4 linked regions of the Notamacropus eugenii genome follow. The protein of the gene in region 2 interacts with the protein of the main gene of each other region in a pairwise test. Links are inferred from orthologs where the notes say so. Each region holds a gene or a part of one and is shown on either strand. Other genes may lie near its edges. The genes, in order: BAD, SFN, CCNH and MARK3.

The links.
Region 1: the proteins of SFN (region 2) and BAD interact in binary tests that used the Homo sapiens proteins (3 or more experiments, as listed by UniProt). The link is inferred for Notamacropus eugenii from reciprocal best matches to the Homo sapiens genes SFN and BAD.
Region 3: the proteins of SFN (region 2) and CCNH interact in binary tests that used the Homo sapiens proteins (3 or more experiments, as listed by UniProt). The two-hybrid records come from large-scale screens. The link is inferred for Notamacropus eugenii from reciprocal best matches to the Homo sapiens genes SFN and CCNH.
Region 4: the proteins of SFN (region 2) and MARK3 interact in binary tests that used the Homo sapiens proteins (3 or more experiments, as listed by UniProt). The link is inferred for Notamacropus eugenii from reciprocal best matches to the Homo sapiens genes SFN and MARK3.

The regions. Positions count from the first base shown.
Region 1 is NC_092873.1:17,129,771-17,137,691, forward strand, and holds the start of BAD (bcl2-associated agonist of cell death), read right to left. Parts: upstream 3,011-7,921; 5' UTR 2,903-3,010; intron 428-2,902; 5' UTR 400-427; coding exon 225-399; intron 1-224. UniProt on the Homo sapiens protein: Promotes cell death. Successfully competes for the binding to Bcl-X(L), Bcl-2 and Bcl-W, thereby affecting the level of heterodimerization of these proteins with BAX. Can reverse the death repressor activity of Bcl-X(L), but not that of Bcl-2.
Region 2 is NC_092876.1:67,974,604-67,981,181, reverse strand, and holds SFN (14-3-3 protein sigma), read right to left. Parts: upstream 1,958-6,578; 5' UTR 1,878-1,957; coding exon 1,113-1,877; 3' UTR 509-1,112; downstream 1-508. UniProt on the Homo sapiens protein: Adapter protein implicated in the regulation of a large spectrum of both general and specialized signaling pathways. Binds to a large number of partners, usually by recognition of a phosphoserine or phosphothreonine motif.
Region 3 is NC_092875.1:453,967,010-453,974,973, reverse strand, and holds the start of CCNH (cyclin-H), read right to left. Parts: upstream 3,001-7,964; 5' UTR 2,800-3,000; coding exon 2,683-2,799; intron 1-2,682. UniProt on the Homo sapiens protein: Regulates CDK7, the catalytic subunit of the CDK-activating kinase (CAK) enzymatic complex. CAK activates the cyclin-associated kinases CDK1, CDK2, CDK4 and CDK6 by threonine phosphorylation.
Region 4 is NC_092872.1:349,732,057-349,739,995, reverse strand, and holds the start of MARK3 (MAP/microtubule affinity-regulating kinase 3), read left to right. Parts: upstream 1-4,921; 5' UTR 4,922-5,463; coding exon 5,464-5,514; intron 5,515-7,939. UniProt on the Homo sapiens protein: Serine/threonine-protein kinase. Involved in the specific phosphorylation of microtubule-associated proteins for MAP2 and MAP4. Phosphorylates the microtubule-associated protein MAPT/TAU. Phosphorylates CDC25C on 'Ser-216'.

The sequences.
Region 1 (7,921 bases), on a different chromosome or scaffold from region 2:
GTTTCCACATCAGTAAAATGGAGATAAAACAGTCCCTCCCTTTTAGGTGTCCCAAAAGTCTTTGTGCCCTTTGAAAGCTCTCTGCTACTTACTACCTGGACATGTCCTGGGTTCCCATCTACCACAGGGCATTAGCTGTTCTCAGGTTACAGCTACAATGGTGTAGACTAGAGAGAACCTGAGGCCAGAGTCAGGCTCATGGAGGGGTGGGGGCATGCACCTACCCTCTCGGTGGTGGGTTCCAGGTTCAGGTCTCTGTCTCGGCCTGCTTTGGGCCAGGCTGGGGGCAGTAAAGCTGTGCCTGCCCAGCTCCCTGGGCTCCCCCAGGGCACAGGCTGAGGATCCTTCTTCTGGGCCATCCTCCTGCTCACTGGGTTCAAACTCTGGGATCTGAAACATGCTCAGAGGGTGGGAGGCATCATCTAGCCTGATGAGGAAAGAGAGGAGAGGAGCAGAGGTTGGGGGCAAAGCCAGGGCAGTCTCTGGAGGAGGGTGGGAGGCCGGGTCACCGGGTGCCAGTTCAGGGCTGAAAACAGGGACTTGTGCTGAGGACCAGCTAGGATACCTTCCTACTGCTGGGCTCCAGCACTACTTCTAACCTAATAATAAACATATTAAAAAGGCTTTAAGGCACAGTGGATAGAATCTTAGCTCTGGAGTCAGTAAAACTTGTGTTCAAATCCTGCCCCTGCCACTTACTAGTTACAGGATTCTAGGCAAGTCATTATCCTCTCTCTAAAATGTCATTATAGAAACCGTGTTAAGGATCAGTAGTCCTGCTGCCATCTAACCCCCTCATTGGACAGAAATGGAAACCAATGCCCAGCGAGGTGGGGTTTGAGGTCACCCAGGTAGCGTCCCAGGCAATGTGCTTCAATTTGAGCCTGGGTTTCTCTGACCTAGGCTTTTTCCACTGTCCTACTGCCTGAAACCCCATCCTACTCCTCTGCAGGCCTCAGTTGCCCTGTCCGTTAAAGAGGGAGAGTAATATTTTCCCTGCTTGCCCTCCAAGGGTGTTTGGATTTGAAGGGGGAGGGGCTGTTTCTCCCTCATATCCTAGTGCACTGGAAATCCCAAAGAGATAAGGTTGGTCATTATTATCTGTAAGTAAAGAGACCAGAGGAAACTCAACAAACACCCATTAATACACCAGTGGACCCCTCATGCCCTGGGGGTACAAGGCCCAGAATGAAAAGTTCTTAGCCTTCAGGAGCTTTCATTGTGTGAGAGAGGACCAAGATGCCAGCCCCAAGGTGTGTGATAGATCCCTGGCAGTACCTGCCATGCTCCCAACAGCTCAGTCCTTCTTGGAACCACAACCATTCCTGCCCAGGATGGGTCAGTCAGCTCTCCTCGGGCTTCCTTCTCAGCCCTCCCATACCCTCTCTGGGCACTTCCACGGACCCTGTTAATAGCTCCTTGACTTGTACCCAGCTATTGGCATGCTGTCTCCCCATCAGACTGGGAGATTCTTGAGGGCAGGGGCTATCTTTTGCCTTCCTGTGTATTCCCAGATCTTAGCACAGCACCTGACACCCAGTAGGTGTTTACTACATGTTTGCTGACTGACTGATTGACCTATTAGGGAGTGATGTCCTTCTGGTACACTTGTAGTTTTTTCTCAGTTGGGTTTGACCCCATTTGGGGTTTTCTTGGAAGAGATACTGGAGTGATTTCTCCAGCTCATTTTACAGATGAGCAAAGTGGGAAAAACAGGGTGAAATGACTTGCCCAGGGTCACCCAGCCAGGGAGTGTGAGGCCAGATTTGAACTCAAAAAGAGGAGTCTTCTTGACTCCAGACCCAGTACTCTATCTACCGATCCAGGGAGCTGCTCCTCTGGCACACAGTACACGCTTAATCAATTCGTGTTGACTTGATCATACCAATGACTTTCGGGTTTGAAACACTCTTTTCAGGCCACCACACCCTAGCAAAGTCAGAGAGTCAACAGGCATTGATTAAGCATCTACTGTATGCCAGGCTCTGTGCTGAGAACTCTGGATATAAAGAAAGGCAGAAGGCAGACCCTGTGCTCAAGGGTTTTACAATTTAACTGAAAGTGTGTGTGTGTGGGAGAGACAACATGCAAACAAAGGGTATAAATGAGTTACAAACAGGAAAAAATTGGAGCTCATCGAAGGGGCAAGGACTGCCTCTCCTTTGCCTGGCAGTCGTTCATCACTTAAATTTTGTTGTGGATCATTCACCTGGCCAGATAAAGCTGGGAACAGGATTTGAACTCAGGTCCCCTGACTTGAGAGCCAGAGCTCTTGCTAGGGTTCCAAGGTATCTTGGGGAGCAGAGGGTCCAGCCCAGTTCCTCGGATTTCCAAGCCAAGGGTCTGGGGCTCGGCTTAGCTCCCCTCCCCGGCTAAGAATGAGTCCCAGATAAGAACTCACCTTTCTGCAGCCCTGTTAAAACCTGCCAAACACTTTCCCCACAACCTCTCAGTTTAATGCTGTTTACTCCCATTTGACAGAGGAGAAAGCTGAGGCCAGAGAGGGCAGTGCCTTGCCCATAGTCGCTCCTGTGCAGACTTTGTAGGGGGGTTATGGGGAGGGACCCCTCTTCCGAAGATTCAGGCCAGGGCTGGGGCTGTAATCCACACCGGCAGAGGGAGCTTCCGCTCCAGGAGAGCCCTTCCCTCCCAGCATCCCCACGAGGAGGGAGGTGGGGCCAAGCCTGTCTTCCCCATTAGACAGAGAAGGAAACTGAGGCTGGGGAGGTGGGGTCGGGCAGCTACGCCTCTGTCCCTCCCAGCTTCCATCCCCGCCGGGCAGCCCAGAGGATTTTCCTCCCTTCTCCCCTCCCTCCCTCCCTCTTTCCCCGGCTGGGGCCCGCTCCCTGCAGCCCAAGCCCGGGCTTGCCCTTGGCCCTGGCCCCGGGGGAAGGAGGCTTACCCGGATGGGCAGCCCCGGCCTTCTCTCTCTGTCTCTGGGTCTGCGCCTGGGGGCAGCTCCCGGGCTCCCCACTCTGGGGCTCTGGGGCTCTCTCCTCCCCTTTCCCTCCCTCCGGTTTCCCTAGGAGTCCAGCCCCCGTTGCCTGGGTGAGTGAAACTGTCATGAAACTGACCCAATCAGCTCCCGCGATGTCACCCCCGCTGGGAGGGAGGAGGAAGGAGGAGGAGGGGAAAGCAGGAGGCGTGGAGGGCCTCCCCCAGCCCGGGCCCCTGGCCCCTCCTCCCCCCGCCCCAGCTGACCGGCCCGGCGACCAGGCTTCTTCCCTCCCCTCTCCGGCCACTCTGATTCTTCCTTCCTCTGGTCCTGCGCTGGCTTCCTCTGCGGACCTGGACCGGGGCCGAGATTGCGAGAGCCTCGACTTCTAGCTAGCCGGGCTCCCCCCTTCCCCCATTCCTGCCATGGGCCTCCCCCTCCCCTCCTCCCAGGCTCGGTTCCAATCCCCTCCCTCCGAGACCCCTTCCAGTGACGGCCACTGTTTACCTTGTATCCACTCGTGGATTTCCTCGTTAGAAGCTAAGCTCCTCCTGGGCAGTTAACTTTAACTTTTTATTTTTCTTTCTTCCTTCACTTAATAAATGCTTATTGACCAACTTTCTGAATGATCCACGTTGTGCGGAGTAGGAAACTGAGGCCCTTGGGGAGTGAAGGGACTTGCCCAAGGTCACCCCACTTAGATGGGGAGAAGAGACTGGTTTGAACCTGAGCACTCTTTCTCCAAAGCGGACTATTTCTACCCTCTCCCTTCCCTCCCCACTTTCTCACCCACTCCTGCTTGGATGTCTAGGCTGGTCTGGCCCATCTGGAAATTATTCCTCACTTTCTTTGTTCCAGAATGACTCAGTTAAACTTCCATTCTGAGCCCAACACCGACTCATCTTCAGTTAAAAAACAAGAGTGGTTGGCAGGGAATTGTCTTTGGACTTTGACGACTTGGATTTCAAGCCCGCCTTCGACACATTAATTGTGTGTCTCAAAGTTTCAGTTTCCTCTTCTGTAAAATGGGGATACACAGTCTGCTGGTGGTTCAGGGAAAGCCTTTGCCAATTGGAATATTCTCTCCCTGGTCACCTTTACCCCAAGGACCTCCCAGGCTTCCTAAGTGCCAACTAAGGTCCCCCCTTCCCAATCTACAAGAAGCCATCCCCAGTCCCTCTTCGCTCTCTCCTTCTCTTTCTAGTCATCTGGTTTGTAGCTTGTTTGTTCCGAGTGGTTTACTTGTCTGTCTCTATTAGATTGTGAAGTCCTTGAGTGCAAGGCCTGTCTTTTGTCTCTTTTTGTATCCCTAGCAGGTAACACACTGCCTAGCACATAGTAGGTACTTAATAATTGTTTGTTGACTGTTAAGAGAGGTATTTAATAATAATAGCTATTATTTTTGCTGGAACTTGTGAGGTTCTCGGTAGAAGGGACCTCCTAGACTGTCTAACAACCTAAACCTGCAAAATGGCTGGAAATTGTAGGCCAGGTACAGTGGCCTGATGGAAACTGGAGTCCAGTTAAGTACTGAATGAAATTGGGTCCAAGATTCAGTATTTGAATCTTTTGTGTCCTTGGGAAAGTTGTTTCCTTCTCTGGGTCTCACTTTCCTCATCTGTAAAGAGCCCCGAGGTCTCTTTTGGCCCTAAGTCTATGTTCCTAAATTAAAATACTCTTCGAGCATCCTATGGGGACCGCTTGGAAGTCAAGCAGTGATTTTCCCAGGGTCATACAACCAGTCTGTATTAGAGGCTAGACTTGGCCTTCTGTCTACTCCCCAGTGCTGCCTTTTATGTTTTTGATGTCATGACTATGATTATAAGAATTATGTTTGTGTTGTCTAGTTGTTTTCGTGTCTTACTCTCTGTGACCCCATTTAAGGTTTTCTTGACAAAGACACTGGAGCGGTTTGCCATTTCCTTCTTCAGTTCGTTTTACAGATGAGGAAACTGAGGCAAGGGGGTTAAGTGACTCAACCAGGGTCACACAGCTAGAAAGTGTCTGAGGTCAGGTTTTAACTCAGGAAAATGAATCTTCCTGACTTTGGGTCTAGGGCTCTGTGCCTACCCTCTCATAATAATTATATGCGTAATGAAATAGGGTACTTAGGTGATCCGGTGGCTACAATGCCATGCCTAGAGTCAGGAATACTGATGGTCCTGAGTTAAAACTTGGCCTCAGACACCCTTAGCTATGTGACCCTGAGCAAGTCACTTTACCTCTCCATCTCAGTTTTCTCATCTGTAAAATGAACTGGAGAAGGAAATGACAAACCTCTCCAATGTCTTTGCCAAGAAAACCCAAAATGGGGACATGGAGAGTGAATTAGACTGAAAGGACCTAACGACATTCCCATGGTGATGTATCCCCTAGGGAGCCCCAAGGGGCTAAAGACCAGGGGATGGAGAGGAAGGTCTTCAGATGCAAAATAGGCATCCCCCAATTATTTGAGTCAGATGCTTGAGCAACTCACTTGCATGGAAGAAGACATTTAGCCTTAGAAAGGGCTTCTCGGGCACAGACTGAAGCCCTGTCTTCTCCCAGCGACCTAGCCCTAGACAATCCCAGACCCTGCAGAGTGCTGCTGATCGCCTGAAGTCAATCAGTCTGTCAAACAAATCAACAATTACTGAGCTTACTAAGTATGAGACATTGGTAAATTCTGGGGATTCAAAGAAAGGTAAATAATAAAAAGAATTAAAATCTTCCTGTTTCACATTCTTATGGGGGAGACATGTAAATATAAATATAGGTATATATACACACACAAATATATATATATATGCATATACATACACACTCATACATATGTTATTGCTGTGTTTGTCCTTTGTTCAGGAAGAGGACCATGGCATCAGGGAGATAACATGACTTGCAGTTGACTTTGGTCTGAGTGAGGGAGGGCTGTGCAAGGTCACCAGCCTCCCTTCCTCCTCCAGAGCCATCTGGGTGCAGTGGCCAGATATTCATCAGGAGAACTGGCAATGGCCAAGGATGCAACAGTAATAACTGCTGGGGATTGGGAAAAACCTCCTGCAGAAGGTAGGATTTGAGGTCAGTCAACAAATATCATGCACATATTAGTGCCAAAGGCTGGAGATACAGACATAAGCAAAGACAAGGTTCCTGCCCTCTAAAGACACACACTCAATAAATGGGAGTTAATTCCAGAGGGAAGGCACCATGGGGCAGAGATGACCTGGAAAGGCCTCCTGTGGAATGTGGGATTTGAAAGGAGTCCTGAAGAAGTGCAGGGAAACCAGGTTAGATGGAGAGAGTGTGTTCCAAGCATGAAGGACAGCCAGTGCAAAGGCCTGGAATCTGAAGATGATCATCTTTTTAGAGGAAGAGTCAGAAGGCCAATGGAGTTAGATTCTAGAGTCCTGGGGAGGTGAATAAATGGTCCAAAGACTGAACAGATCCTGTTGTGGAGAGGATGGGCAGATTGGGTGAGTGTACAGGAACCATAGTTATGTTTGTAGGTGGCTGGCAAGGAGCTGGCAGACTGGCAGAGACTGAAGAGGAGAGAGATGAGAAGGAACAGTTCCTGTGGAGTGTGGGGAGAAAAATAAAAAGTTTGCTTTGTGGCGGTGTAGGCTCAGTTAAGCTCAGATGTCATCAGTGTGTAATGGGCCCAATCAACCTGGTTCTGTGATTTCCTATTACTCCTTCCTCCCCGCCCCCCTCCGCAATGAACTGGAGCAAAGAGGTAGAAGGTGGGAGCAATCCAGGGTGGAGGCTTGGCCAGATGGGATCTACAAATAGGGAAAAGAGGGTAGAGAAGAACATGGCGTTCCTTGAGTTGGTTCAACAAGGGGTTGAGATGGAGAAGGGAGGACAGTGTGGCCGGTGTAAGAGTGATAGATGAGCACAAAAAACAGGCTGAAGGGAAGGATGGAATGATTGGATAAAAGAATTTGGGAGGGGAACCTGGAAGAGGAACAGTCAGGGGGTGGGGGTGGAGGTGGAAAGACCAAGGGTGTGATCATCTGTCTTTTCTTTGTACAGCTGGGGTGTCATGGAGGCTTAGATCCTAGAAACTGAGTGGGTTGAAGAACCAAGTAGTTAGGTAGGATCATGTATGAAGTTTCCAAGTATGAGAAGAGATGGATGGGAAGGGGAGAAAGACAGTCAACCAGGTCCAGAACTCATTGAGTGGAACAGTCCTGGGGATTGAGAGCTCCAGTGGCAAGGTGGAATGCCTTATTGAGAGGCCTGCCTGGCCTTGACAGACCTCAGAATGAAGGCTCCTAAGGGGTCAGAGAAGAGAGATTTCTGCCAGTCCTAAACTAAGGGTCCTTGCACTCGCTGAAAGAACTTAGCAGGACTCCAAGTTCAAAAAGTACAGTGCCAGTGAAGGGAAAGGGAATAAATATTTATTCATTAATGGGGAAATGCAATCGGGATTAACTCACTTGCCTGGGGTCACACAGTTGATAAGTATCAGAGCTCAAATTTGAACTCAGGTCTTCCTGACTCCAGGTTGGGCACTCTATCCATTGTGCCACCTAGTTTCCCCAGAATAAGCACATATTATGCATCTACTTGTGCCAAGCACTGTACTAAGGGCTTTACATATGTGAACTCATTTGATTTTTCCCAGTCACTTTGGGAGGTTGGTGCTATTATCATCCCCGTTTTATAGAACCCAGGGTCACATAGCTAGTAAATTTCTGAGGCTGGATTTGAAATCAGGTCTTCAGGTCCAGTACTGTACCTATTTTAATCAGATGCCTCCTGCAGGTGATGAAAGACCATTAAAGGGGAAATCTGGGCTAGTCAAAGCACTGTGGCATGTGGGGAACAGGCCCAGCTGAGCAGTGGAGTAACTTGTCTATACCCTACGCCACTGAACTTCCTGACAACTCTGGAGAAAGATAGAAAGTTGAGACCCTTCCATTTCAGCACTGTGAGTGGCCGTGGCCAGCTCGGGTCCTTGGGCATCGCTGCCATAGCACTTCAGGTTTGTACTCCAACCTTCCC
Region 2 (6,578 bases):
TCAGATCTGTGGCTTCTCATCTCACCTGTCCTGGAATCTGACTTCACTCTCATTTCTTCTCAACACTGCCCTAGCCTCCCCTCTCCTCCACCCCGAGATCTGGCTTTCTCAGGTCCAACTTTCCTCCCACTCCAGCACCAGGGCTGTTTCTTACGGATCCTTATCTTAGGGCTCGAGGAAGAGGAAGGAGTCCTCTGAAATCCTCTGTTCCGATGTGAACTCTCCTGGGGACTGAGGGTTAGTCCCTGACCTTGGATTCTGTCACTAGAAAAAAACCCTGCCCCACCCCACCCCTCAACCCCACCTAACTCTGAGGTAATCTACCCCAAATCCCTTCCGGCTGCTCCTTGGGATGGGCCAGCTCCCCTGGGGGTGAGGGCCAGGTAATGCTGGCCTCTAGAACCAGAAAGAAGACAGGTCTCAGAACCAACACCTTCCCCCGCCCCGCCCCATCAAGTGAGCCTTCCCACCTGCCCCTCCGACGCAGACGGCAAAAAGACAAAAGGAGTGTCAGGGAAGCTTTCTTTATTGAGAAGGAACTTTGTCACACTCAGACAGACATGCTCTCTGACAGTCGCACACACACACCAGCGCGCGAGCACACGCTGTCACCCAAACACATCCACACACTCTTCCTTCCTCCAACACACTCACACAACCTCTGGGCCCCACCAGTCCAGTCCCTCCCAAGCCCCTAAGGGCCTGGCACTTCCCAATCCCTCAGAACCACAGGGAGCAGGGGCAGGAGATGACAGGGAGAGCGCCGGGGGGGCGATCCCCGGGGCCAGCTCAGAGAGCCAGAGATCTTGGGACGATCGTGGGGGCTCTTGCCACCACCGTCCCTGATAGCCTGGGCCTAGACGGAGAGACTCCCGGAGCTCCCTGCCCAGCTGCCCTCGTTTTCGCGTCTGAGTCGCTCCAGAGCCGGGGCGCGCAGCGGGGTAGGGTTGGGGGGCTAAGGGGCTGGGGAGGGGAGGAGGAGGAGGCAGGGCGCAGGGAGGGAGAGGGATCCGGGGGCCCGCCCCACACACAAGTCCTCTCTCCCGAGGGGGGCCAGGCCGGGGCGGGGGACAGGGAACGGAAGGGGCCGTCGGGGCGCCGGGGAGCGGGGCTCAGCTCTGGGGCTGCTCCTCGGGGGGCGGTGCCTCGCCGCCCTCCTCCCCGGCGCTGTCCGCCGTCCAGAGGGTCAGGTTGTCTCGCAGCAGCTGCATGATGAGGGTGCTGTCCTTGTAGGAGTCCTCGCTCAGGGTGTGCAGTTCGGTCATGGCCTCGTCGAAGGTGGTCTTGGCCAGAGAGATGGCCTCCTCGGGGCTGCTGGCGATCTCGTAGTGGAAGACGGAAAAGTTCAGCGCCAGCCCCAGGCGGATGGGGTTGGTGGGCAGCATGTCCTTCTTGCTGATGTCCATGGCCTCCTGGTAGGCGGCGCGGGCCGAGTCGATGGTGCTCTTCTTGTCGTCGCCCGTGCCCACCTCGGCCAGGTAGCGGAAATAGTCGCCCTTCATCTTCAGGTAGAAGACGCGGCTCTCGGCGTCGCCCGCGTCCTTGATGAGGTGCGAGTCGAGCAGGCCGAGCACGATGCCGCAGACGGCGCGCAGCTCGCCCTCCACCTTCTCCCGGTACTCGCGCACCTCGGGCTCGCGCTCCTTGGCCTCGGCGCTGTCCTCCTCGGCCCCCTTCTGCTCGATGCTGGACAGCACCCTCCAGGCCGCCCGCAGGCCGCCCACCACGTTCTTGTAGGCCACCGACAGCAGGTTGCGCTCCTCGCACGACAGCTCGTCGCCTTTCTCCACGGCGCCCTTCATGAACTCGGCCATGTCCTCGTAGCGCTCGGCCTGCTCCGCCAGCTTGGCCTTCTGGATCAGTCTGCCTCTCTCCATGGCTCGGGCTGGGGCTGGGTCGGGGCTGCGCTGAATCCCGGGGCACCTGGGCTCTGCCTCTGCTCAGCCTCTCCCTCTCAGCCCGGCTTTTTGGCAGGGGTGGGGAGGGGCAGGGCTGGGCGGGAGGCGGGGCTGGGCCTCTGGCTCCTGCCTCCCCCAGTCCTGGGCCCTTTTCTTTCTTTCTTTCTTTTTTTTCCTGGCTGCTCCTTAAAGGTAAAGAGGCCAGGACAGGAGGCGCATTAGTCATCATGGGGATACTCAACCGGAGAAAGACAGGCGTGGGCCCCACCTAAGGCAGCTGCCTCCCGGGGCCTTCTGTCCCACAGGCTCTGCAATGCTCAGGGGCCTGCTCTGGGTCCCCAGGTTGATCTCCCAGTTACCGCGGACAATAATGGGCTTCTTCATCACGACCCAGGGAGTCTGGGAGTGGGAGGCTTAGAAAGTAGCTTGAGGTTTTCCTGAAATCGCTAAACCCCATTAGTTTTTAGGAAATAGGAATGGTCAGTCCCTTATGGGTCTGTACGGTCAGATGTGAATGGTGGGATGGGGGAGTGTGTGGATGGTTCAGTAACAGGGTGCACTCACTCTGGGGTGTGTGTAACAGAGACTGTGTCTGCGGGACAAAGCACCCCTTTAATAAAAGCTGGTCTTTTGACTTTAAACACAGAATATCTGAATGCCCTCCAACAAACTCTGCCCTTACTCAGCCCCTAGCCAGGGTCTAGAAGACACTGGAGGAAGCACTCCACCTGTGGCACAGGTACCATGTGGGCCCAGCCTGGCAGCCTCCTGCAATATGCCAGGAGTTGTATTGGATATCCCTGGGGAATGGGCAGTGCTGGTTCCTACTGATCCTCCTGGGAGGGCCCCAGGCATCTCTCTGCCTTAGGCATACTCCTATCTGAGAAGCCCTCCAGAGCTAAGCAAGGACCCCACAGCCCTGCTCCCTAAATCTCCTCCCCTCCCCCCCAGATTGTTGAGGTGGCATCTCAATGTGCCACTTAAAGATGAGTTTAACAAGCGAGGACGCTGGAGGCCCATCCTTTGTAATTAGCCACCCAGTTGGGCCCAATACCATCCCCATTACACTGCAATTTTCCCTTTCAACTGAGCAACCAGCTCCCACTAGCTGGAGGACTTTCCCCAGGGACATTGCTGTGGCTGGGCTCCAAGCTTAGGTGTCTGGCAGTACCCTCCCAAGCCATAGAGTATCAGGGAGGCTCATGTGGGCGCCCTGGAGAGGGTGGGGTCCCCAACTTCGTCAGCTGCCCCACTTTCCTCTCTGACTCACCTTTGACCTAGTGCCAGGCTCCACTGATTTGTCTGAGGCTGGCAAGTAGGACACCTGGGCTCTAGGCCCAGTTTAGTTCCTGGGAGGGGGGCGGTATTGACTCCCAGGGGAGGCAGTGGTGACAGCATGGATAGCCAAGGTCTTGTTATATGAGGACTCTTATGGGGATTTTATTCAGCCACTTCTAATTTATTTCACAGATCTTTTTCTGCCCCTGTCCTCTATTCATGGCCCCCTGCTGGGCAGGGGGGCAAGTAGCAGTACCCCTTCTCTGTGCCCTCAGGCCACAGTGGATCACACCTCCTTTCCAGTCCGGGCTCTGACTCCACCTCAACGGAGAGCCACACCCGAGGGAGTTGGCACATTGCCTACGGGGCGGTGGTGGCTATTGAACACCAAGGGGCTCCTGCCCATATAGCCCCACCCCACAGCTCTACAAAGTGCAGGTCTAGTGTTCAGGGGTGAGGCTTCCTGCTTTGGGAATCTGTCCGGGATTCTCTCATCCAGTTCCTCTATGGTCCCTGTTCGAGGGCTACCAAGCAGCGCCCTACCTCCCCCGGCTTCTCTTAGTACCCACCTACATGGGTGCAAATGACCTGTTCTTGGGGAAGCCACTGCCCAAGTCTGTTTGATGTCCCATTAGGAGTCATCCTTCCCTGCTCATGACAGCAGCCTCTTTGCTAAGGAGGAAAGACAGAGTCACACCTAGCCAGAGGGAGCAGACTCTTGGTGAATCAGGAGGGATTTTGGTTAGAAGTGAGAAAGACCTTGCTCACCGGAGGAATCCACGTGGGTGGAGGTGAAGTTCCTCCAGTCATCGTCGTCAAGGCATCCTTGGTGTAGGGGTTGAGATTCCAAGCCAGGCTAGCTCTACTGGGAAGGAAAAGGGGATAAGGTTTGTCCCTAGTTTTCTTTCTGAGATTTTGGGGTAGGTGACAGACCACTGGGCTTGTAGTCGGAGGACCTGGGCTTGGATTTCAGCGCTGCTGCTGACCTTGTTACACTGAACAAGACCTTCTTCTCTACAGACCTCAGCTTCCTCAGCTATAAAATTAAGTAGCTCTAAATACCTGGGTCCCCCACCTCATCTCCACCCCTTCTAGCTCTGACATCCTGTGTTCTTTTTTAAAATTAGTTTATTTTTAGTTTTCAATATTAATTTCCTCAAGATTTTGAGTTCCAAATTTTCTCCCCATCTCTCTCCCCTCCACCCACCCCAAGACAGTGTGCATTCTGGTTACCCCTTTCCCCAGTCTGCCCTTTCCTCTTTCGCCCCCTCCTATCCCTTTTCCCTTTACTGCTTGTAGGCCACAATAGATTTCTACACCCTATTGCCTGTATATCTTATTTCCCAGTTACCGTAAACAGAATTTTTTAGCATTTGTTTTTAAAACCTTGTCTCCCTTCTTCCCTACCCACATACCCTCTTGAGAAGGCAAGCAATTCAACCTAGGTTATACATGTGTAGTCATGACATCCTGTATTCTAAGGTGCCCCCAGCTCTTTCTAAGAGACTTCTCAGCTCTGACATTCTGTGTTCTAAGGGCCCTCCCAGTCCTGACATCCTATGTTCTAAGGGCCCTCCTAGCTGTAGAGCTGATCCTGGGATCAGTTCTGTCTTGGTACCACTCTTCCCTCTACCTGGCCTAAATCGGTTCCAGACCTCTCCAGCACCTTCCTGGAGTGCTTGTCACTCATTCTCAGCTTCTCCATCTCCGGATGCAGCAGTGCTGGAGGAGGGCAGGACTGGCCCTAGGGATTCAGAAACCTGGCTTCTCACTGTACCTTCCCAGATCAGTTATCCTATGACAGCCCAGCCCATGGAAGGGAATTCATGCTGGATGGTGAAGCCTTCCCTCCGAGAATCTCCCAGCTTCCCCTGGACATGTAGGTCACCCCCTCAGCCTGTGAGCTCCTCTGAAGTGGGGTCTAGGGTTGTATGGTTTGTTTCTCTGCCTTTCTTCCAATACTCAGCATGTAGTACAGAGCCCAGCACGTAGCAGCGCTCCATAAATGTCTGTTGACCGTCAGTCATGAGACTGCTTCTGGTCCAGACTGTCACTGCCTACCTGGATGCCTAAGTCACTTCCCTTCTCTGGGGCAAGGGACATTTGCAAAATGAAAGAATTTAATTTGATACCTCTAAGGCTCCTCTCATCATTAATATTGTCTTACAGCCTTCTCAATATATGCTTGACCTCTCCAAACTGCCACCCCTCCTCCCAACCCCTATTGAACATGGCCTTCTCTCATTTGACAGAGACAGGTTAGAACAGTGGATAGAGTACTGTCTCTGGAGTTAGGAATTGCTGGGGTCAAAGTATTCCTCAGACAGTTACTAGCTGTGTGACCTTCAACAAGTCCCCACTTCTGAATCTCAGTTTCCTTATCTGTAAAACAAAAGGGCTGGACTAGATGGCCTCCCTGCTCTAGTTCTATGATCCGATATCACTTCAGCTCTGAGACTCAGTTTCCCCATCTATAAAATGCAGCAGTATCTTTATGATAGCTCCTTACTCTCATTCTTCAAGTTCCATCCTTGGGGCCCAAAGGAGAAAGGTTGAGTGTAAAACATTTTGCATGCATTAAAAGGCAGTTATTAACTCTGGACAAGGTAAGATATCCTATATTCCCTAGCAGCTAGGGGCCTTGGGCAGCCCCTTAACTTTTCTCAGGCTCCTCAGTTTGCCTGGATTCTGTACCTCCCTGACTTATGACTCAGTTCCTGTCTTGGGCACCTCCCTGTGCCTCCAGGCCTCCATTTATCACTTGAGGAGGCAGCAGGTCCAGGCCTGGCTGTTCAGGGAGGTCTGGACGGCCTCTCCCAGTACAGCTCCATGAGAGCACCCTGTTCAGTGCCCTGTGTCAGCAGAAACGGCTGCTTTCCCCATCCTGCCTTCCCTCCCCTGCGCAGAGCATCCCCTTTAGGAAGGCAGGGCCCCAGCCTTCAGTGCCACATGGCTACCCAATAATGTTTTACCTGATAATAACAGGCTTTGCTTTGGCACTCAAGAGTTATTCTGGGGAAGGCAGGTGGCCATTGGCTGTTCAGGCCCTCTCCAAACCAGCCCTGAGAGGAAAGGACGGGATTTAGGTCAGAAACCAAAAGGGAATCCTCAACCAGAAAGGCCAAACTAACTCATATTTCTACTCATCCTTCTCTGACACCACTTTATGTCATGGAGGTGACTCTGGGCCTGGGAAGGTCTGTTTGTGGCAAGTGCTAGCAGGCCCTACCAAGCTGGAAAGATTTCCAGCAGAAGCCTGGGGAAAGATGGCATGTGCTTTCTGAGAAGTATGCAGAGGCTCATCAGCACAGGACAAGGCTCAGCACCAGCACAAGGCATTCTGGGGCCAGAGCAAGTCATGACAGTCTATGTATGATAGCGTACTGATGTGCGGAGGAGCTG
Region 3 (7,964 bases), on a different chromosome or scaffold from region 2:
ATGTTTATTTCATTCCACAAAATAGAATTTTTAAAAAAAGAAGCCACTGAATCCAAACTCATCTTATACAAGTTTCTAACGCAAGATTTTAATCCAGGGCTTTCTGTCTACAGTGTCCTAACCACTACACCATTAGTTGCAATGCGTATCTACACATAACATGAACAGACCTACAAATCCAATCCCCCAGTTTTAGTTCAATCCCAGATCTGAATGACCTGCCCACTGGACATTTGAATTTGATGTCTCATAGGCACTGAAAACACAGTATGTCCAAAACCTATAATCTTCTTCCAAAGGGCCCCATCATCCTTTCAGTCAACCATATTCACAACCTCTCAATGTTATTGTCAACTACCTTTATCTCACTTTACCTCACTTAATCAACTTGGCAACTCTTGTGAGAGGCGATGAGGGCCTAAACTAAGGTGGTAGCTGCGTGAATAGACGGAAAGTATTAGATGAAAGAGATGTAGAGGTAGAAATATCAAACTTTAGCAACTGATTAGATACATGGGGTAAGGGAAAGTGGAGTCAAGGATAAAGCTGACATTACAAACCTGGGGGACAGGAAGGATAGTTGTGTCCTTCACAGGGCAAGTTTGGAAGAAGGATGGATAGGAAGAGTTAATGAGTTCAGTTGAAGACATGTTAAATTTGAGATGTCACCAGGAAATCCAGTTTGAAAGCGCTGGTCCAATAAGCAATTGGTGTGAAAAGTCTGGAGGTGGGGGAGGGGATGAAGGGGAGACTAGAAGAGACTATCCAGGAGGAGAGGGCCACAACAGATTTGGCAATTAAAAGATCCTTACCAATTCTGCAGGGAGAAGTTTTAGTTAAGTGAAGAAGTCTGAAGCCAGATTACAAAGGGCTCAACATTGTGTAAACAATGAATGCAGAAACCTTTTTCAAGGAGCTTGGTTGAAAAATAAAGGATACTAAACAATAGCTTGAGGTGATGGCGGGGTCAAGAGATGTTTAAAAGAGGTATATTTGAAAGCAGTAGTGAAATTGAGACTGAAGAAGCGGTTAAGGAAGACTAAGTGTGTCAATCTGCTGAAGGTGATGGGCTCAAGGGTGCACACAGTAGAAAGGCTGGCTCTGGCAAGGCAAAAAGTCACCTCTGAGACTGGAGGAAAGAAGGACAGAGTAGGAAATGGAGTTCCTGTCAAACGGCCTCAAATTTGTCACCTTCTCTGGGCAACTGGATAAGGACTCTATTAGGGAACACTAAAACGACTGCCCTAGGGCGGTGAAGGTTCAGTTGAGGCTGGATAATATGAACTTGTAATGGTACCTGGCCAGAAAGTTTATGAAGTCTTCCTCCAGCTGAGGTCAGCTGGGTTGGAACAGGAGAGGTAAAGTGATGAGGGTAGTCCAGAGATGAATGACAACAGGACAAATGAGCAAGGTATCATAGAGCAGAAGACAGTATGGAGTGGAAAAAGCTAACTAGTATTCGTCAGAGCCTGAGAAAATGCTGAGACTGGAGAGCTTAATGAAGGCAAAGAAGAGATTCTGAAGGGGTAAGGCTTACAAAAGTCAGAGAGGGGAAAGAGGTTTCCAATTAGGGAAGGGGAATACTTCTGAGTAACAGTAACCATCTTTGCATGTGTCTGACACAATGGAAAGAGATACTAGGATTGAAACTGTTACACCTCATACCCCACCAAGACTTCCCAGCCTCGCCATACTCATCGTCTTCTTGCCTTTTCTTACCTATGCCTTTACGCCAGGTGCTGCCCATGCCTGGAATGCTTTCCCTTCTTACCTCTGCAGGGTGACTGCTCTCAAGTGCCACCTCACCTGTTGTACAAGGTCTTTCCTGGTCCTCCTAGCTGCGCCCCTTCTCCTCAAGATTATCTGTTACATTCTGTGCATGCCTACAGATGCACCCGCTGTCTGCTCTGGTGGGATGTTGGCTGCCTGAAAGTGGGGGCTGTTTCTCTCTGTCTTTCTATCCCCAATACCTGGCATCTGCTTGCCATGCTAAGTGCTTAATAAATATTGCAGTCCTACGACCTATTTAGCCAGGTATAAAGATCTTCACCAGTTAGTGGGTCACAAGAGAATGAATTCCTCGGCTGGGACCACCACGGTCTATTCTGAGGAAGGAAAGTACCACACAACTCCACACCACAAGTTAGCGACCCCTAAAGCAGCTATGCATTTCAAGTCAGGGTTCTCGCAGTGTAGAACCGACCCTCTGCCAATTTAAAAGGCACAACCATTAGCTGGAAACAATCTGCAACCCTCCGCAAAATAAAGAACCTGGAAGAGAGCCGGAAGTCCTGGGTTGGAGTCTAAGCCCGGAGATCCCGGGCAGGGCACTAGCCCTCCAGGCTTGGGGCGTGCCTCAGAGGCTCCCCGGCTCTCGAGTCTCAACAACAGGAACAACCAGCACTTCCGCAGCTCTTTACGCCCCGCCACGGGGGGCACCGACGTCTACTTGGATCGTCGCAGCAACCTCGAGGCACGTGCTGCTATCTCCAAGTGACAGACGGGGAAACTGAGGCAGAGAAGCGGGTCAGGCAGGGGGCTGGATCGGAGCTCGGGGTTCGCGACTCCAGGAAGGCGCGCTGGGCTCGCTGACTCTGAGGCCGCAGAAGGCGGGCCGGGGGGGTCGGGACCCCCGGGGGGGCCCACGGGCCAGGCCGCGGGGGGCCGGGGGCTCGCACTAACCTTCCCGTTAGCCACCACTTTGCACTTGAACTTGCGGTTGGCGTCGGCGCGGAGGCGCCCCAGCTGCTCCTCGCCCGAGAACGTCCAGTGCCGCTTCTGGCTGCTGTTGTGGTACATCCCGGCCGGCGGCCGAGGCTCAGGGGTCCGGCAGGGCCGGCCCACGGCCCCGAGAACACGGGGAGGAGAAGAGCGAGCCGCCCGCCGCGCACCGGAGAACGCACGCAGCCCTCGCGAGACGCCGACAACGAAGCGCAGCAAGCCCCGCCTCGCCTCTCCTCGTCGGCCGGCGTGCTGACGTCACGGCGCTGCCGCCTCTGCGTGGGGCGGGGGAGGGGCCGGCTTTAGCATTTCTTCTATGGCCGTAGAGGTCGTGGGAGGGAGCTCTCCTGTGACGTCATGCGCCGACGAGTGGCCGCGGCGCAGCGACTCCTCCCGCCGTGTGCCGTAGGGCGCGTGTTGCGTCGTCGCCGCCCTCCCGCGCTCCCCTTACTAGGTATGGGAGGGGGCAGAGAGTCGGGCTACGCGCGAAGTAGGGAGGATTTGGGGTGCCAGGAAGCGGATTTAGGGTGTCAGTGACCTCTGTGGATGGAGAAGAGGAATCTCCCTCCCCAGCCCCTGTGAGAGGAAATTAGACTGTACCTAGAAGGACCAGTCAGCTGGTCTTATTAAGAGGGTGGCCCGGAGGGCTGGGCAGGAAAATGTGCGGAGGGAGGAAAAGCTGGAAGCGATTGTGCCCTGCACTGAGATGGGCGCGCCTTCCTGGCCCTGCGAGAGGTAGAACCAGGCAGATGTAGTGTGCAGGCCCGGGGTGCGTGGCGGTGTGTCTGTGTGTGTGTGGGGGTGTATCTGTCTGTCTGTGTGTCTGTGTTGGTGTGTGTATGTGTGTGTGTGTCTGTCTGTGGGTATGTCTGTGTGTGTATGTCTGTGTGCGTGTCTGTCTGCCTTTTTGTGTGTCTGTGTGGGTGTGTCTGTGTGTGTGTATCCGGGTGTGTGTATGTGTGTGTGTCTGTCTGTGGGTATGTCTGTGTGTGTATGTCTGTCTGTGTGCGTGTCTGTGTCTGCCTTTTTGTGTGTCTGTCTGTTTGTGGGTGTGTCTGCGTGTGTGTATGTGTGTGTCCGGGTGTGTGTATGTGTGTGTCCGGGTGTGTGTATGTGTGTGTGTGTGTGTGTGTGTGTGTATGTCTGTGTGCGTCTGTGTCTGCCTTTTTGTGTGTCTGTGTGGGTGTATCTGTCTATCTGTGGGTGTGTCTGTGTGGGTGTGTCTGCGTGTGTGTATCCGGGTGTGTGTATGTGTGTGTGTCTGTCTGTCTGTGGGTATGTCTGTGTGTGTATGTCTGTCTGTGTGCGTGTCTGTGTCTGCCTTTTTGTGTGTCTGTGGGTGTGTCTATGTGGGTGTGTATGTCTGTCTGTGGGTGTGTCTGCGTGTGTGTATGTCCGTCTGTGTGTGTCTGTGTGTGTGTATGTCTGTGTGCGTCTGTGTCTGCCTTTTTGTGTGTCTGTGGGTGTGTCTGTGTCTGTGTGTGTTTGTTGTGTCTGTCTGTGTGTCCTTGTCACCTGATGCCTCTAAGCCCCAGTTTACTGAGTACTATAGACGATCTTTAAGCGCCAGCTCTACCAGGCGTTGCTGATAGGATCGATTAAAAGTAGTCTTTGCAATGTTGAAGCCATTGTATAAATTACTCCATTTATTCTCACTTTTCATCTCTTCACACAAACCTTAGGTACAGGGGGCTGGATCCCTCTGCTGCTGGTACTCTGGTGTGGAATGGAAATAAATGAGTCATTCTTGGTCCTTTGGACACTTAATGAAAAGAGGCTTCCCTCCATCCGGAAAAGCATGATCCTGCTACTACACGGACAGCCTCAGGGCTAAGGGTCACCATCAGCTGATATCTTCGCAGTTTGTCCTCAGGTTGACTTGGAAACTCTTGAGGCAGTTAACTCTCCAGGATAGTTTTGATATCTCTTAAGGAAAAACCAACCTAACTTGCTGGGGAGGAAGAAGAATAAGAGGGACTGAGGATATTGTTCTCATCACGTCAGATTTGTGTGAACCAGACTCTTGTCATTTCTGACAGGGAAGTAAGATAGATCGGTCCTCTTTAGTCTTTCAAACTTGCTCGCCTTTACTGGGTTGTGCTTGTTTTTTAAATTGTTGTATTCATTTCATTTTATACCAGTTGATATGAAACTCCCTAGATATATGTGTGTGCTATCTGTTTTAAAACTATATGGGGGGGGGGGGCGGTAGTGTCACAGATGGCATGGGGAGATATGATCCGGAATCTTTGTCCATCTTTGTGGAGAGTAAAAGAGAGTCATGCAGGCACTATCAGGACAGTAGCTGTGAGCAAAGATCAGGTAGGATCCAGGAATACCATGATGGAGAGGTCTTTCCTATCTCTTTGAAGGGTATTGGGCTAGAATGACATTTTTTGTCAACCTTTGCTGTCTCTAGAGTTCTAAGGATATGAGTGTGGGTTCAGAATGAAAATTCTTTCCCTGATTGATCTCAAGGACAGAGGTAGCCCTTAGCTTATGCTATGGAACTTAGTCCCTTCCCACCAAATACTGGTTGCACAAAGAGCCTTATCAATAGGTAGTGAACCTATTTGATCAAACAAATCAGCAAATGAATTAGAGAAATTAGAGATTAGAATATGCTAAATAATACACAAGAGCAAGCACATTCTTTAGCTGGAAATGGGATGACAGATCAGCTCAAACTAGGAAAAAGAATTATCTTATTGGGAATGAATCAGGGGAGGAGGTGATAAAGTGGATTCCACTCAGCATTCTCTAGGGCTTCAGATAATAAAAGTCTTAGTTAGGAGCTCTTGAGGGGATGACTTTCCCTACATGTCTGTGGTTCTGCAGAGGTTCTCAAGTGGGTGACACCGACACCTGGGGGCCACTGGAATGATCCAGGGGGGCAATAGTAACCTTAGGTGCAATTGGGGGTATTGAATTAAAATAAGGGGGCAGTAGAAGTACAAAGAAAGAAGAGAAAACTAGGAAATTTTGAAAACTGTTCATGTGTTTCATCTGTTTTGTGGCAGAGTTAAAGTCATAATGATTATATTGTTTTCCAAATAAACACATCAAATTCAAGTTATAACTGATCAATGGTCAAGTCTACAGACGGGTCTTAACAAGCAAGTGTTGGCAGATGAGCATGTTGAGCATTGTTGGGAAGTGCAACCTTTAGGAATATGTACATGTAATGACTTGTTTACAATATGATACTATACGGTTACAATGCATTTCAATGCAGGAAAACACAAATTTACAAAAAAGTTATTAAATTTGCATTTAATTTATTTAAATTATTAATTACATTTGAATAATTTGTAAAAATATACATGCTATATATACATATATACATATATATATATATAGTAATGACACAAATTTTAAAAGCAAATGGATAAAAGGTTGAAGAAAGTAGGGACACTGAGTAATTTTTTTTAGAGGGGACAGTAGGCCAAATAAGTTTGGGAACCTCTGTCCTAGGGTCCTTTGTCATCTCAGAGTTGACATACAACAATATGCTTTCTAATCAATTTTTATCAAATAGTGACTCTTTCACTTAATAATATCTTATTTTTCCCAATTACATGTAAAGATAGTTTTCAACATTCACTTTTATAAGATTTTGAGTTCCAAATTATACTCCCTCCCTCCCTTCCTTCCCCCCTCCCCAGGCTCCTTCCTAAGACAGCAAGCAATCTGATAGAGGTAATATATGTACAATAATGTTAAACATTTCCACATTAGTCATGTTGTGAAAGAAGAATCAGAACAAAAGGGGAAAACCACGAGAAAGGAAAAAAAACAAATGAAAATAATATATTTTGATTTGCATTCAGACTCCACAGTTCTTACTCAGGATGTGGATAGCATTTTCCATCATGGCTCTTTTGGAATTGTTTTTGATCATTGTATTACTGAGAAGAGCTAAGTCTGTCCCCGTTGATCATTGAACAGTGTTGCTGTTACTGTGTACAATGTTCTCCTGGTTCTGCTCACTTTACTCAGTATCAGTTCATGTAAGTCTTTTTAGGTTTTTCTGAAATCTGCCTGCTCTGCATTTCTTATAGCACAATAGTATTCCATTACATTCATATACCTCAGCTTGTTCAGCCATTCCCCAGTTGTTGGACTTCCCCTCAATTTCCAGTTCTTTGCCACCACAAAAAGAACTGCTATAAGTATTTTTGTACATGTGGGTCTTTTCTCTTTTTTATGATCTCTTTGGGATGCAGACCTAGAAGTAGTACTGCTGAATCAAAGGGATATGCACAGTTTTATAGCCGTTTAGGAATAGTTCCAAAATGTTCTCCAGAAAGGTTGGATCAGTTCACAACTCCACCAACGCTGCATTAGTGTTCCAGTTTTCCCATAACTTCTCCAACATTTACCATTTTACTTTTCTGTCATATTAGCCAATCTGATAAATATGAAGTGGTACCTCAGAGTTGTTTTGATTCATATTAGTCTAATTGATAGTGATTTAAAGCATTTTTTTATGATTATAGATAGTTTTGATTTCTTTATCTAAAAATTGGCTGTTCATATCATTTGACAATTCATCAATTGGGGAAATGACATGTATTCTTAAAAATTTGACTCAGTTCTCTACGTATTTGAGAAATGATGCCTTTTTCAGAAACACTGGCTGTAAAAATTGTTTCCCGGCTTTCTGCGTTCCTTCTAATCTTGGTTGCATTGGTTTTATTAGTGCAAATTCAATGTAATAAAATTACCCATTTTGCATTTCATAATATTCTCTATCTCTTGTTTGTTCATAAATTCTTCCCTTCTCCTAGATTTGACAGGTAAACTATTCCTTGCTCTGCTTAATGTCTAAATCATGTACCTGTTTTGACCTTATCTTAGTTTATGTTATGAGATGTTGGTCTATGCCTAGTTTCTGCCATATTTTTTCCTAGTAGTTTTTGTCAAACACTGAGTTCTTATCCCAGAAGGTGAAATATTTGGGTTTATCAAATAGTAGATTACTCTAGACATTTACTGTTGTCTTGTACCTAACCTATTCCACTGATCCACCAATGTATTTCTTAGCCAGTACCAATAGTTTCAATAATTATTGCTTTATAGTATAGTTTTATATCTGGTACAGCTAGGCCACCTTCCTTTGCCCTTTTTTTTTTTTTTTTTTGCATTAATTCCCTTGGTACTCTGGATCTTTTGTTCTTACAGATGAATTTTGTTACTATTTTTTTCTCGCTCTATAAAACAGTTTTTTGGTAGTTTGGTAT
Region 4 (7,939 bases), on a different chromosome or scaffold from region 2:
AAGAGGAAGACATCTCTCTCCAGTCTTCTCATCACTGAAACAAAAAAGAAAAGAAAAACAAAACCCTTATAAGAAATAGCATAGTTAAACAAAACAAATCTCTACATTGGCCTTGTCCAAAAATGTATTTCTCATTCTGCACCTTAAGTCTATTGTCCCTCTATTAGAAGATAGTTAGCATGTTTTGTCATTGGTCTTCTGCAATCCTTGTTGGTTATCACACTAATCAAAAATCTCAAGTCTTTCAAAATTGTTTACATTTATAATGGTATTATTGTATAGATTGTTCTCCTGGTTCTCATCCTATTTTAGATCAGTTCATGCAAATCCTCCCAATTTTCTCTGAACTTTCCCTTTCATTATTACAGCACATATACCATAATTTTAGTCATTCAATTGGTGGGTATTCCCTTATTTCTTTGACACTATAAAGAGCTGAATATATATATACATATATATAATATGAAATCAATTCTTTCTACACATATATACATATATCTATATGTTTTTATACAATCACACATATATATATGGGTGTGTGTAAAACATCTGAGTTCCTTTCCTATTTCTTTGCTCTCTTTGGGGCATTTCTTGGTCAAAGGGTATACGCAGCTTAGTGATTTTTGATGAATAATTCCAAATAGCTTTCTAGAATGGTTGGACCTTTTCTGTTCCTTTTTCTAGCATTTTTTATAACAACTCTTTTCGAGGCATCTAGGTGGCACAATGGCACATAGCTATGTGATCCTAGACAAGCCACTTAACTTCAATTGCCTCCAAACAATGTAACTTCTTTCCTGAACCCCCTACTTTTTAGGACTACTCCTTTTTCCAAGTTTATTTTGTATGTAATTATCTGCATAAATGTTGTATCTCTTCAGCAGAATATGAGCATCACAGAGACTATATCATTTATTTACTTATTTATTGTCTTTAGGCAGCTAGCACATGGAACAATGTCTTGTACATCACAGATGCTTTGAAAAACCTTCTGTTCTGTTGGGGTTTTTTTTTCTTTAGATGAGAAGCTCACTGAGGATAGAGGATGTGCCTTCTATATTTTAATATAATTCACAGGGCTGACTACATGATCACATATTAAGGCTTTGTTTCAGTCTAATCAAATGCAACTCAGCCTTCTGCACAGCAGATGAACACACCTTTTACTTTACTGGGAAGACTGAAGAAATTGATATAAACTTCCTTAATTCCCATCTTCCTCTTTTTCTGAAGTGCTGAATATCCTCACACATCTTTCCCATCCCTTTGTTAAGGCTGTCCAATTACTTCAGGCCATCAATCATCCCTCTTCCAGAGTCTGGTGCCACTCTATCTTACCAGCCATCACTCCCCTTCACATATTCTGCATTCCAGCAAAACTAGACTACTCACCATCTGTTCTTGTCCTGTCTTCTCTGGGCTCTAAGCCTTTGTTTACAAAATCCTCATGCCTGCAATGGGATCCCTTTGCTCATTTCCATCTGTTGAACTCCTTCATTTCATTTAATACCCAACTTGGATGCCACCTTCATGAAACTTGGCCACTTCTCCCCTCGCCTCACCTAAAAATTTCTCTCCCCTCAACCCAGTTTTTTTATAGCAATTTGACTGGATCACTCCTTTGTTCTTATTATATTCTGTGATACAAGTATCATAGTAACTTGTGTACGAGTAATATTCTCCTTGAATTGTAAGCTTTTTGAAGGCAGGCTCTGAGTTATTTAAAATTTTTGTTCCCCAGGGGAACACAGGGACTTGTGCTTTAAAATGTTTGTTGGATTGAACTGAATTCAAGGCCAAATGAAAGACCTACTTTCTCTGAAGCTTTCCCTGACTACTCACTTTTTCAACTCCTTTAGTTCTCTGCCCCAGATAAGAAGCTCCTTAATCATATCTTCCTATTGTTCTCTAGGTGCTTCATGCGGGTCAATCTTGCTTCCCTATTGCTTCATAAACCCCTGAAAGGTAGGGACTACAAACTTCAATTCAACGCAAGGCAACAAACATTTATCAAATGCCTGTTGCATTGGGATGACATGCCACTAGAGGAGATACAAAGTTAAAGTAAGTCCCATGCATACGCTTATGGAATTTACAGTTTAGTAAAAGGATTAGACAAAAAGAGAGTCATAACTCATGATATTTCATAAGAGCATCAAAAGTGTTAAGCAAAATTCTGCTTGAAAAATAAGAAACGAAATTTTTATTAGGTTATTATTTTTATATTTTATATTATTATTATATTAGAAGATAATTTGAATTGAGCTTTAAAGGATAGGCAGGAATATGATTTGCTTATAGTTAGGAGATCTGGGTTCAAATATCACCTCAGATACAGTGTAATTATGCTCTCTAAACCTCAGTTTCTTTATCCGCAAAATGGAGATACTACTGAAGCACTGTATGTGTCTGTCATTGCTGTATTTATCTTCAGTAGATGAAGAACTAAAGGGACAATATTCCAGTTATAGAAAACATCTTAAGCAAAAGCATGCAGGTAGGAAAGTGCATGATATGCTGGGGGACAGAGAGGAATTCAATGTGGAGGAAAATACAATACATGGGACTTTGCCCTTTTCTAGAGGCAGCATGGTGCAGTGGGAAAAATATTCCACTTGGAGTGCTGAACTTGGTTTCAGACCAGATCTAGGCTTGAATCCTCACCCTTCCACTTTACATGACCTTGTGCAGCAAGTCTCTGGGTTCTCATTTACATCATCAGTCAAATGAGAGAGTTGGACTACATGGCCCAAGAAGTCCTTTCCAGCTCTGGATCTGTGATCCTGGTACAAGTTTCTAGGACAGAAAAATTCTGTCCACCATAAACTGTTCATGTTTGGTTGGTTTTGCATTGATTACAGTATGCATAAGCAGAAGAAGCTGGTACTTCTGTATCAATATCAAGCATCTTGTATTTTCAGCTTCTTAAAAGCTCATGATGTACTTGCTAATTTTCTAAACAATACAGTGACATTCTTCTCTTCATACCCAAGCCTCCTGTTCACCCCCAGTTAATCTTCTGGGATAGTAGGCTTATAAGCTGTGAGAACTAGAAGAGACCTTAGAGATTTGTGTACCCTCCTAGAAAAAGCCTTTCCTGTTTCCCTTAGTTGCTTGTGCTCTCTCAAATTATTTGATGTATCTCCCTAGTAGATTGTTGTGTTTGTCCTTCGTTCTCAAAGAGGACCATGACATCAAGATGATGACATGACTTGCAGTTGACTTTGATTTGAGTGAGGGAAGACTGTGTAAGGTCACCATTCTCGCTCCCTTCTCCTGGGTCTTCTGGGACCAGTGGCGTGATATTCATCAGAAGCTCCTTGAGGACAGGCACTGTTTTTCATTTTATCTTTACAGCTGTATCATCTTAGAAAATGATTTGTATATAGTAGACACTTAATAAATGCTTGCTCAATTGTTTACCTAGATGGTGGAGAATAGCGTGAGTTAAAGCTGGAAATAAATAAAGAGGAGTGCCAAGTTACAATGGGCCTTCAATAGCAGACATAAAAGTTTGACCTAATTCATGTTCACATACTTACGATCTATGTGGCCTTGGGCAAATCAACTTACCCCCTGGGCTTCAGGAGATGGGACTAGGTCCCCTCCAAATCCCTGTCCACCTCTAAATCCTGTGCTCTCATCTTTGACCTTATTAACTGTATGTGGTAGATAACAGGAAGTCACCAAACATTTTTAAGTCAGGGACAGGACATGACCAGAGCCATATTTTTGTCTTTTGCTCTAAAGGATGGTCTCTTCTATATTTTCCTAGACTACAGAGCTCAGTTCAGTAATGTCTGGCTGAAAGCTGAAACATGATGAGAAGTAGGAAGGGAAGACATGGTCAAGAAATCAAACAGATGGGACTTAACACCCACACAATGGACTTCCAAAGATTCTTTAAAGGAAATATAGGAGTTAAACTCCACTTCCAGAGAAAGAGGTCAAGGGCAGAGATCACTGGATTTAGATTCAGAGGACGTGGGTTCTTCTAGCTTAGCTGCTTATTAATTATATATTATACAATTGATTATATGTCTACGTAATTTATATTATATATTTTATTATACGTTATAGAAATATTTACTATATTTTATATTATATAAATATTTATTGTATTATATAATTTATTTTATAAATGTAGCATATTTATATAATATTTACTATATTACATAATATAATATATTATTAATTCTATGACCTTGGGCAGGTCCATTCCCTGCTCTGTGCCTCAGTTTCCCCTTCTGTAAAAACAGTGGTTTGGACTTCAAGATCTCTCCTTGGTCTCCCGGGTCTCTTCAGTCTCTTAAACCCTACGACCCTAAAGGTCTTCTTTCACCATCGGCCCCACCTTTTCCCCTTATTACCTTCTCCTCCTCTCCCCCTCTCTCTTTACCCCGCTCCCTTTCCCTTTTCCTTCCTTCCCTCCCTGACAGGAATCCAGTCGCCCTTAGCAACAACAGCCAAGGCTTGCCTCCTCCCTCCTCGGCTATTGGCCGAGCCTCCTCCGGAGGGGCGGGGCGAAGAGGAGGTCGTCACTTCCGTTCCCGTCTGGGGTCGGCGAGGGGAGCCGGAGGCAGCAGAGGAAGCTGGGTGGCGGCCATCTTGGATCTCTGAGGAGAGGCGGCAGCGGGCTGCGGAGATTCGAGCGGCGGAGGCAGGCGGGAGGGCGGGCGGGCGGGGCTGGGGCAGCAAGAGACGGTGAAGGGAGACCGCAGTTCTCCTCCGCCCGAGGCCCCTTCCATGGTCGGCACCTGTGACCCTCCGCAGCCTACCCTCCACTCCTCTCCCAGGGCGGCTGGTGCCGGGGTGCGGAGGCCCCGGCGCTGAAAGCTGAGGGGAGGAAGAGGAGCCGCGGCGGCCGGAGGAGTGCGAGGCTCGCGGGGACCCCGGAGAGCCTGGCGGGCGGACCCCGCAGCCTCCCCTCCCCTGCGCGGCCCGGCCCTGTCCGCCGCCGCCGCCGCCTTCTCTGCCTTCTCTGCTCGTGCTGCCCAGCCCCGGAGCCGGGACGGACCTTAGAGACCCCCTAGCCCAGCCCCGCCGCGCCCTCCACTGCCCTGCCCTGGGCACCGCTCTCCTCCCGAGACTTTCCCACGCCTGAAGCCTCCCCGCCCCGGTGCAGCTGGAGGGGCGGGGAGGGGGAGGGGGTCGGTGTCCGGCCCCGGGCTCGGGGGGGTGGGGCAGCGAAAGCAGCATGAAGCCCGGAACCTGCCCGGGGAATCGTTCGGCCGGTCCTGGGCTCTAGACCACCGTGCGGGGGGCGGGAGAAGGAAGCCACCCTCCCCCATGGTGCCCCTTCCGAACCACTACTGAGACTGCCCTGCGGCCCCCGGACCGGCGAGGCGTGACTCTCCCTCGTAGTCGTTGCTCGTTTTGTCGGACGTCCTTTTTGTTTCTTTTGTTTCTTTTTTTCCCCTTTTTCCTCTCCATTGTGGGGGAAAAAATTAAAAGTGAATTAAAATGTCCACTAGGACCCCTCTGCCAACGGTCATTGAGCGAGACACTGAAAACGTAAGTAGCCACGGTATGGATTTACTTAGTAACAATGAGTTGGAAGTATGTATTTTATTCTGGGAGATGTTTCCAATAGTGTCATTGCTTGAGCGCCCTTTTTTTTCCAGAAGCTAAAAAACAGCTGGGTAAATTTTGTCTCCAAATCTGAAAATAACCAGCCTTTTACTACTCACAACAACGTTCGGTGCAGCACCAGCCCAGAGCCCGTGGCCAGGGTACTTGGAGGAGCGCTGAATTGGGAGGACCCCGGCGACATCCCTGCTTGTCACCTTCGTGACCTTGTCTCTGCACCTCCCAGAGACTCAGTTTCCTTTTTGGTCCGTTGGGGTCATATGATTGGCGGTACCTACCACGCAGGGTTGTTAGGAGGAAAGCTCTATGAATGAATCAGGATTTTGCTTGGTGGGAACAAATCCTAAGTTTTGCTGCAGTCCCTGTTCTTTGGGAGCTTTTGGGTTGGTCAAAACTACTGTATCCTATCTAAACTTTGAATCTGCACGCCATGGGCCCGATTTGATCAAAGAGCACTTGACGTGTTTTCTTAAAAATGTTTATTTTCAAACTGGTTCGGAGTAAAGTAATATCTATTGTTCTTTGGGCAGCGAGAATATGTTTTGTGTTGCCTTGGTGGGAGTTATTGACTAATAAAGTCTAAAAGTTGCTGTTAGACTAGTCCATGTAACTTGCTTGGGTTGTCTTCTACCTGCTCCTTTAGGGGGTTTGGAGACATTGCAGTATTGGTTTCTCTAGACTCTGGTTTTGGTCTTGTATATCTAATGAGATTGTCAGTTAAAGATTGTGTTTTTTAGTACTTAATAAAATAATAAATTGGGCAAAATGAGCTACCATTTATGGCTCATTCTTTAAAAGAAAAGGTTTGAACTGGCAATAATCACAGTCTCTTAAAAAATGCTACCTTTAAGAACTCCTTAAGATCTCTTTGGGTGGTATTCAGAAACCACTAGATTTGAAGACCCTAATTACAACGAATACACACATTTAATAAGGAGTAGTTTTTGTAACATCTGTTTTAAGGAGGGGAAGAGAAACAGAAAAAAAAATTTCTTGTTAAATCAGTTACTATTCTTTGTAATCCCTTTAAAGTAGACTTCCTTCACCTGGTGTCCTGGGAACTTTTTAAAAAATATTTTGATAGCTGTATGTAAATATAGTTGGTTTCTTTGGTAATTCTATGTATTTTATTTTATGCATTTAAAAAGTATTCATAGAAGATCCTTAAGTTTCACAGATTGCAATAGGGATCTCTGAGATTAAAAAAAGGTGAAGATTCCTTGTTTTAAAGTGACCCCCCCCCAACATTGGGGTAAATCGTATCCAAATGAATTGTCTGAATTCATCCAGTTTTTAGTGAAGAACTAATTGGATTGCCAACTAAACTTCTCTGCTAAAAAAATATCTAGTTAAGTAATCTCTGGAAAGTAAATCCTGTACTTAAATTTAAAAGTTTATTGACAGCTAGATTTAAAAGCTTTTATTACATTCCTACTATATGCCAGACACTGTTCCAGATTCTGGGGCTACAAAGACAAATGAAAAAGGCCCTGTCCTCAAGGAACATACATTCTGTTGGGGAAACTATGTACACAGGCAAATAAATACACAATATATACAAAGTAAATAGAAGGTTAATTTGATGAATTGATGAGTGGCAACTGCTGACATTAGGGAAGACTTCGTATAGGTAGATGGTACTTGAATGGAGCATTGAAGGAATCTAGGAATTTTAAAAGGTAGTGATGAGCAGGGAATGCCTTCCAGGCATGGGGAACTGTCTGCCAAGCTACAGAAGCAGAAGATAGAGGAGCAGCAAGTAGGACAGTTGGGTTGTACAGTAGAGTTAGAGAAGATGTAATAAATCTTAAAACATGTTCGTGCCAGACCATGAAGTGCTTTAACAGCCAAACAGAAGAGTTTATATTTTAATCTTGGAGAAATAAAGAGCTTTTGGGAGTTTTTGAGCAGGGTACTGGCCTAGTCAGTTTTAGTAGTATTACTTGGGCACCTGTGTAAAAGGTGTGTAAGTAGGGGAAATGACTTGAGGCAGGAGGATCAATTAGGGAGATTTCAGTCCAGATGAAAAAGTGGATGAAGGCATATACTTGGACTGAAACCAGTAATGGGTGAAGGTGACTGATTATAGACTACCTTAGGAAAAGTTTCCTTGCTCTAAGTGTTCTTCACACTTAACTACCACACAGTATCAAATGCCTGAGTTTAATCCCCACACTGCTATTTGTTAGTTAGCCATCTGGTGATTTAATCTCTTATAAAATTTGGGACAGAGTATCTCTTGTATATAATAACCTTGAGTACTTGGTTAATAACAATAGGTCGAAGTTGGTACGAAATTATAAATGATATGTTTTTCTTAAATGCACTACAAACTACTGAACAATAGAAA